Linked DNA regions of Oryctolagus cuniculus. The protein of the gene in region 2 interacts with the protein of the main gene of each other region in a pairwise test. Links are inferred from orthologs where the notes say so. Each region holds a gene or a part of one and is shown on either strand. Other genes may lie near its edges. The genes, in order: ENO3 and ALDOA.

Region 1 (3,863 bases), on a different chromosome or scaffold from region 2:
GGGCAGGATCATGAACTCCTGCATGGCCAGCTTGTTGCCTGCGTGGGAGCCCCCGTTGATCACGTTGAAGGCCTGAGGAGGGGAGGGGCGGAGGCCTGAGCCAGGGCTGGGGGAGGGGCGGAGGTGGAATCCCGGCCTCCGGCTTGCTGGCTAAGTGGTCTACCGTGAGTAACTTTGCTCCCCAGAGCCTCTTCCCTCACTTCTAGAAAAAAGGAGGAAGTAAATAACCTCCCTGCAGAATCTGTCGCTGAAAATTAGTGGGAAAAAAGTGACAAAGATGTTTTTAAAAATTGTAAAATAATAGCATTAGTGAAACAGAATATGAAGCTCCTAGCATGCGCCTGGTGAGTGAGACAGCCAGCACTTTATGGCAGTGTTTTAAGTGCTCTACATCCACTGGCTCATTTCCGGCTCAAAACATCACTCAGCCGGGTACTGTTCCTACTCCTCATTTTCCCACAAGGAAACTGAGACAGAGAGAGGTTACACAACCTTCCTGAGACGGCTCTAAGAAACAGGCAGTCTGTCTGGCATCCATGCTCTGGTACAGTCCTCCTAGTAAGCCAGGTTCAAGGGGTCCCCACTAAGGTCATTAGTTTAATAAGGACTCCTTATTAAACTTATTAAACTCCTTATTATTAGTTTAATAATAAGGAACCCACGGGAAGGTGTGGGTTCGAGTCCTGGCTGCTCCACTTCCCATCCAGTTCCCTGCTAATGGGCCTGGGAAGGCATCGGAAGATGGCCCAAGTGCTTGGGCCCCTGACCTGTGTGTGGGAGACCTGGATGGAGTTCTTGGCTCATGGTTTCAGCCTGGCCCAGCGTTAGCTGTTGCAGCCATTAGGGGAGTGAACAAGTGGATGGAAACTCTCTCTCTGACACTCTGCCTTTCAAATAAATAAAAACGATTTCTTTTTAAAGGAGATATAGAGAAATGTCAAGATCCATGTCAAAGAAGCTGGCGCACTCACTTGGGGGATGGGGTGCAGGGGTGGAATGAGGTCAGAGTTAGCAAGGCTGGGATTGGAATGTGAAGGAACCGGGTTGCATGGCAAGGGAAGGGAAGGTTTGGATTGTGGGAAAGAGGGAGGGGTGGGGAGATTCGGTTTCAGGAAACCACTTCTTTGGAGCTGAGTCTGAAAGGTGGATTTTCCAAGGGCTGCCTAAGCACCCCTCACTGGGGGGGGGGGGGGGGGGCTCGGTCTTGGGAGTGGGAAGCTGCACTCACAGGCACTGGGAGCACGAGGTCATGGTTCCCAGCGAGGTCTGCGATGTGTCGGTAGAGCGGGACCCCCTTCTCTGCCGCTCCAGCCTTACACACGGCCAAGGACACGCCCAGGATGGCATTGGCCCCAAACTTGGCTGGAAGGAGGCAAGTGGGGAAGAAAGGGTGAGCACGTCTCTTGCAGGGATTGGGGTGATCTCCAGCCACCCCGGGAAGAGTCCCCAGCTCTAACAGATCTCTCCCCGGAGACCTGGCTGCAGGGGCCCCCGCCCCGGGGACTGTGTCTGTTGCACATTTGCGTCCACAGCCCCACGCAAGCCTGGCAGAGGGCAGGCCTCAGGAAATGCCTGTGGGATGAATACAAATCCACCCAGCTACAGTGTGCCCCGAAAAGTGGGACACAGAAGTCATGCTGGCCAGGTCTGGCTCCCGCCCCCCACACCGGTGCCTCCCCTCCCAGCCTCCGGCCCTGCACTCACACTTATTCTCTGTCCCATCCAGCTCAATCATAAACTTGTCCACTTTTTCTTGATCCACGACGCTTAGTTTCTGGAAGGGCAGATTGGCAGGGGTGGGGCAGAGGTCAGGGCATGTGTGGGAAGACGGAGAGGGGCTGCCGGGGGGAGGCAGCAGGGGCGCTGGGGGTGCGGTGGTGGGGGCAGGCTCCTCCACTTGCCTTTTCCAGCAGAGCAGGGCCTAGGGTCTTGTTGATGTGTTCCACAGCCTTCAGGACACCTAGAACCCAGCTCAATCAGGCCTCAGTCCAAGGACCGCGACTCTCCCAAAGCTTTGGGTGCCAGGCCTCTGCCCATGCCCACAGCCTCCTGCTGCACCTCTCTGTCCTCACCTTTCCCCAGGTAGCGGGATTTGTCTCCATCTCTCAGCTCCAGAGCTTCATAGATCCCCGTGGAAGCTCCGCTGGGCACCGCTGCTCGGAATCGGCCTGGGCAGGAGGTGTTAGGAGGTCACGGGAGTCCCGCCCACCCCCAAAGGGCTGCGGTCCGCTCTCCGTGCCCAAGGACAGGAGACAGTGCAGAGAAGACTGGGCCTCTCCCAGCTCCCCCAAGCCAGGCTGGAGGAAGTCTGCAGGGGTGGGGGGAGCAGAGACAGGCGAGGATGTGGCCCAGAAGCAGGGTGGGGTGGCGGTGGCCAGGTGCGGTTGGGGTCTTGTGAGGCACACCGGTTCACGGGCCCGTGTTACCCTTGGCTGTGTGCAGGTCCACCTCCACCGTGGGGTTGCCCCTGGAGTCCAGGATTTCCCGGGCGAAGATTTTCTGCATGGCCATGGCTGCAGGACAAGAGGTGCGAGCGTGGACAGTTGATCCCTCGAGGAACCAGAAATCCCTTGCCCTTTAAGAGTCTAACCCACCCCAAGAAGGCAGGTGGTGGAGCTAAAAATACCCCTCAAAAAGGTCACAGACCAAAGAGGCTGGCGCAGCCCCCTCCCCCACTCAGGACAGCTCCTGTTCCACCCTCCCGCCATTAAGGAACAGGCACCCCTCCTTTATAACTTCTTGGATTCCACTGCACCTCTCCGCGCTCCCTGGCCTTCCCCTAAGCGGCCCTTGTGCCTTCTTCCTCCCCACTGGTGGCTGACCCATGCCCCAGCCGCTCTCTAGACCTCAGATACTTTCTGGCTCTCATTCCCCTGCTCCCCAACATCTCCACGGGCTCCAGATTCTGCACCTAACTCCCCTTGGCTACCCATCCCTGCTGTCCCCTGCACACTCTCCAGCCCCGCCAGCTCCCCGAGGGGGAAAAAAAACCATGCTGAGATCTCCCAAGCCAGCACCACCCTCGGGCTGGGGGCTGCAAGGTTCACCAGACCTGGGATGTCTTCGCTGGAGTTTGGATGGAGCTCTGAGTCTAGGTGGCAGCTGGGACAGTGTCAGATCACCCCCCTCTCAGCCTGGGCATTTATCCCCGGGCCACCCTGTCCCCGGCCAGCCCCGCCCTCTCTCCATCCTCCCCCCTGCACACCAGGCTGGCAGCCAGGTGCCCACTATAGCCTAAAGCAGAAGCCTTTTGGCCCAGGGCACCTGCCCCCCTCACAAAGGTCAGGGATTAACACACCCCCTTTCTCTCTGTCCCCCAATAAAACTCCCTGCTTTTTAATTCCACGCCTTTGGGAGGAGCCGGGGAGGGACTTCACATTGGGGGGTCTTTCCCCTTTCCGGGATCCTGCTCCCCTTTTGCAAAGGTTAAAGAGGAACCAGTGCCCTTTAGAAAAGGCCATGAGAAACCTGAGCCCTGCAGGGCTGAGGAGGGGGCCTGGAAGAGGGGCTGCGGGATTGACATCCACACATGCTCAGCTCGTTTGGCCGGGCTCAGCCCTGGGTGGGGGAGGTCTAAAACTGAAGCCCCACCCACCCAGAAGGCGAGAGGGTCTCACCTCTCAGGATCCTCATAGCGGCCCCTCGCGCCTCCACCTCCTCCCGCCCTCCCCCGGCCGGCGAGGGCGTGAGGGAGGGGACCGAGGACGAATTTAGAAGCGCCCCGTGCGCTGGCGCGGCGCCGGCCAGCAGCGCCGGGCCGGCCCATGTCGCCCCGTGGAAGCCGCGGGTCCGCCCGTGGGCGCTTTGGCGCGCGGCCCCAGTGCCTCAATGAATGGCGTTGGGTCAGCAGGCGAACGCATGAA
Region 2 (3,898 bases):
GCCCTTGCCCGGAGCCACAATGCGGTGGGCGATGTCGGACAGCTCCTTCTTCTGCTCCGGGGTCAGCGCTGGATGGGAGTGAGGCATGGTGCTGGTAGCAAGTTCCTGGGTAAGACAGGCAGGCAGGACCGGTGAGCTGAGCCTTCCCACGGGCTGCCAGTGAGCGGGGCCCCCTTGCCTGGAGGTCAGGGCAAACGTTCCCTACCTCCCCTGCCCCACACCCGGCAGGTCCTGGGGTACTTCCTGTCCCCAGCCTGCCGCCTGTACCTGTCCTAACTCTGTCTGTTGCTGGGTGTTGCCCAGCTGAGGCTGAGGGTGGGGTTGCCCACTGGCACCCGGGGGAAAGGAAAAAGCCAGAGCCAGGGACAGGCGGGTCATGTTGAAGCTGGACCCATCTGGCTTGCGCTTTGCCATGGGGTCACCTTGCCTAGAAACAAATTGAACCAGAGTATTTTAGAGTTTCAAGGGCCTGGGCAGGGCAGAGGACCCCACCCCCTCAGAGAAGGGAAAAGTTCTGTGCTTCGACCCAGGGGCCAGATCTGAGATTAAACCCAGATCTTCGACTGCCATCTGGGCTTTGCTTCGGATCCTCCCGAGGTCCCAGGACTGACCCAGGCTCCAGTGCTTCAAGGACGTCCCAAGGTCAGGCTGTTCCCCCCAGGATGGGGGGCGGGGATTAGGAAAAGGGTGGGGGAGGGAGGTAGGAAGGTGATCGGAGGCCCAGCAAAGAGCCGCAGAGCGAGCCCAGCCCGGGGTACAGGGAAGGGGTAAGGTTTGCCCTTCTCACTGCTCATACAGGGAAAGAGTGCGTGGAGGAGCCGACAAGCGCCCCACCCCTTTCCCTGAAAAATGCTCCCGTCTGTTCGCTCGGCTGCGGCAGCTGTTCCAGGCTCAGAATCAAGGTCACCCGATAAGGAAAGATAGCAAAGTGTTAATGGGTCATCAAGCCGGGCTAAGGGGTTTCCCCTCCTAGCTGGGGCGCCCTACCTCTCGGCTGGAAACAACACCTCACCTGCGGGAACCCTGAGGCGAGAGTAAGAGCTGCCCTCCACCCCTCGCTGCCTTTGGGGACCCCCGGAGAGGCAAAGGAGCCCTAATCCTTTGCAGCCGGGGTCCCTGCAAGAATCAGGGAGGGCGTTGAGCCTCCTTCCCGTCCTGCTTCCTCCCCCGCCATGACTCAGCGCGCGGAGCTGCCGCGTTGCGCAGCAAATCGAGGGAGCTCGAGCTGGAGAGGACTGGGGGAGTCGGGGCTGGGAGCGCGCGCGCGTGTGTCGGGGGCTGGCACTGGGGAGATGCCGGGGAGGGGCGCGGATGGGGGCTCCCTGCCGACCCGTCCCTGTCCCGGGACCCTCCACGGTTCCCGGCCCTGGCGTGGGGCGCTCACCTGGCCCGGGAGGGTGGGTCTGGGCGGGCTGCAGCGGCGGCGGGCGGCGGGCTGGCGAGGGGCCGGGGGAGCGAATGCGGCGGTCGTCACCAGGACCCGCTACTGCGGCGCGTTCCGAGAGGAACGCGGCCTATTCAGCTCCCGAGGGGGCGGGGCAGGGGGCGGGCGCCGGGAGGGGCCCCTGCCTTTTAAAGGCACCGCGCCACCGTCCGCCGGGTTTTTCCTCTGCGGAGGGGGCAGGAGGCGTCCAATTGCAGGAGAGGAACCGTGTGGGAGGCCACCTCCGAGCCGCGAGGCCGGGAGGCGGCGCTTAGGTGGGTGGGTGGGGCCCCGGCGGCCGGAGCCGACGCTTCCCCCGCCCCCGTCGGACGTGACTCGGGCCACATCCCGCGGGTCGCCAGGGCCCTCCCCCCCCCCCGCTGTGTCCCCCTCCCCCAGCCTGGCACGTTCCGGGGCGCCGTGACTCAGCCGGAATTCTGGCACCCAGGCGATCGGGGGTGGGGAGCAGGGGAAAAGCGGGTGCAAGACCCGGACCAGGCCGGCGGCCGCGGACAGCCCCGCTTCCGGCCCGCGCGGTGGCGGCGTGTGTCACAGCCAGCAAAGGGAGAGGTCGGCGTGGTGGGCCTGCCTCTGGGCGCGGGGCCCATCCCTCCAGGCCGCAGGCCCGGGCTTGAGAGAGGCGGAGGCCAGGGCGCCGGGTGGATGCGCGGGGCGCGCAAGAGGGCGCGGAGGGCTGGCAGGGCTCGGAGGCGAGGCCTCTGTCCACTCGTGCCTGGCCCTGGCCGGGTGAGGCCTCCTGGCTTCCGTGCGGGGGTTCGCACCCGAGCGAGACCTCCCCGGCCTCGGTGTCGGGGTTAGCTCCCGGGCGGGGAGGGCCAACCTGGCCCGCGCCTGCGCACGCGCTCCCCGCCTGGGGCGGCCGCCGACCGCCGCCTAGTCGGGGGTGGCCACTCTAAACCAGGCTGCGCGGAAACCGACCGGCCCAAGCAAGTGTCGGGAATGCGAGCACCACAGTCCCTGGGGCCCGAATCCTTTCTCCAAAGTAAACTCCGTCCCCGAGCTGATTCGCTTCCCAGATATTTCCCCAGCTTCTTCCTCCCGGCCAGGGCCAGGTCTCCCCTCCTCATCCGGACCCCCTCGGCCCAGCCCCCCAGCCCGCTCCGTCCCCGGCTAGCGGCCCACCTGCGGCGAGGCTGTAGGAGCCGGCAGAGCCTGGTCAGCAGCGAGTGAGCGAGTCGTACCGGGGCTGGGTTATAAGGCGGCTCCTGCCCTCCCCCGAACTAATGTCCCCGACCTTCTCCCGTGACCCCTGCCCTTTCCCCGCCACGGATCCCCCGGCAGGGACCTATATTTAGGGAAACCTGAAGCCCCTGACATTCACGCCAGCTTGGGGCCCAGCGTGGGGGAAGGAGGAGGAAGCCTTGGGTCTGTCCTGGGGGAGGGGCTCCCCGCCTACTCACTGGCACTTAGAGGAAGGTTCCTCCTTGCGAGTCCAGGCTGAGGCTCCTCTTCGTCTAGAGAAACCCGTCTATGGGCTGCAATCTGTGGGGGAAGCAAAGGGGTAGGGGACTCGGGTCCTGCGAGCTCCCGCGCCTCCTGCTGGCTCCTCCTCTGCTCCCCCTCCTCCCCCAACTCAGGGCCTTGATGGTGCCGCCTGGTTGTTTTTTTTTTTTTTTTAAGAGGGAGAGCAGATGCAGGCACTGCACTCCTAAAATAACCAAGAGTGGGTGGACAGGGTGTGGTTGGGGCACCCCTACATCCTGACCCAAGGCCCAAGCTCCCCCCAGAATCTGGTGAGCTGTGCCCCCCACCCTCACCTTCAAACGTTCCAGTGTACTTGGGGAAGGGAAGAGGAGGCAGTGGAGCCCCTCTCCTGGCCCTGCAATGGAGCTGCAGTCTGGCCGGCCCAGGGCCCTGGTCCCAGGCCACTGAGCTGGGCTCAGCCATTTGCGTTTTGGGGGACCTGGAGAAAGGTGTCCAGAGGCCCCTCGGGGAGGAGGGCCGCGCGGAGCCCTGGGGGCTGGCCGCTCCCCGCAGAGGGCAGGGCCCTGGGGTCCTCATCGGAGCTTGATCTCAAAGCAGAGGCAGTTGAGGCTCTGGCAGTCCGGGAGCTGGCAGGCGCAGGCGCAGTCGCAGAGGGGGCAGCAGCTGGGGCAGCGAGGGGCCCAACCCTGAGGGAGAAAAGAGAGAGCTTGGGGGGGTGCATCAGGCGCCTCAGTCTGCCCCCCCAGGAGAGGAGGGAGGAGGGGGAGGCCTGGGCGGTCCCTGTGGAACAGAGGGTGTCACCTCCCATTGCCAACACAGCGATCCCTGCGCTGCTGAGAAATCCTGACACACGGGGTCCAGGAGCTGGAAGCGGAGACCCAGGCGTGCCCCCCTCAGACCCATTTTATGGATGAGGACCGGAGAACTGGCCCTGGTTCCTTGCTCGGATTTGGATGCCACGGCATCCAGCTTGGTGATGGGTCTCTGTGCAACTGGCAGACCAGGAAAACGCACTTTTCTGCCCTCCGT

The links.
Region 1: the proteins of ALDOA (region 2) and ENO3 interact in a two-hybrid assay, tested with the Homo sapiens proteins (2 studies listed by BioGRID and IntAct, with this or other methods). The link is inferred for Oryctolagus cuniculus from reciprocal best matches to the Homo sapiens genes ALDOA and ENO3.

The regions. Positions count from the first base shown.
Region 1 is NC_091448.1:51,283,502-51,287,364, forward strand, and holds the start of ENO3 (beta-enolase), read right to left. Parts: upstream 3,097-3,863; 5' UTR 3,053-3,096; exon of another isoform or gene 3,048-3,052; intron 2,514-3,047; 5' UTR 2,512-2,513; coding exon 2,427-2,511; intron 2,169-2,426; coding exon 2,073-2,168; intron 1,961-2,072; coding exon 1,902-1,960; exon of another isoform or gene 1,898-1,901; intron 1,775-1,897; coding exon 1,705-1,774; coding exon of another isoform or gene 1,668-1,704; intron 1,363-1,667; coding exon 1,229-1,362; intron 107-1,228; coding exon of another isoform or gene 73-106; coding exon 1-72. UniProt on the Homo sapiens protein: Glycolytic enzyme that catalyzes the conversion of 2-phosphoglycerate to phosphoenolpyruvate. Appears to have a function in striated muscle development and regeneration.
Region 2 is NC_091450.1:7,438,176-7,442,073, reverse strand, and holds the start of ALDOA (fructose-bisphosphate aldolase A), read right to left. Parts: upstream 2,608-3,898; 5' UTR 2,568-2,607; exon of another isoform or gene 2,567-2,567; intron 2,553-2,566; exon of another isoform or gene 1,385-2,552; intron 1,242-1,384; exon of another isoform or gene 1,013-1,241; intron 428-1,012; exon of another isoform or gene 415-427; coding exon of another isoform or gene 268-414; intron 108-267; 5' UTR 106-107; coding exon of another isoform or gene 88-105; coding exon 1-87. Other genes in the region: uncharacterized protein, read right to left, coding at 3,442-3,555. UniProt on the Homo sapiens protein: Catalyzes the reversible conversion of beta-D-fructose 1,6-bisphosphate (FBP) into two triose phosphate and plays a key role in glycolysis and gluconeogenesis. In addition, may also function as scaffolding protein.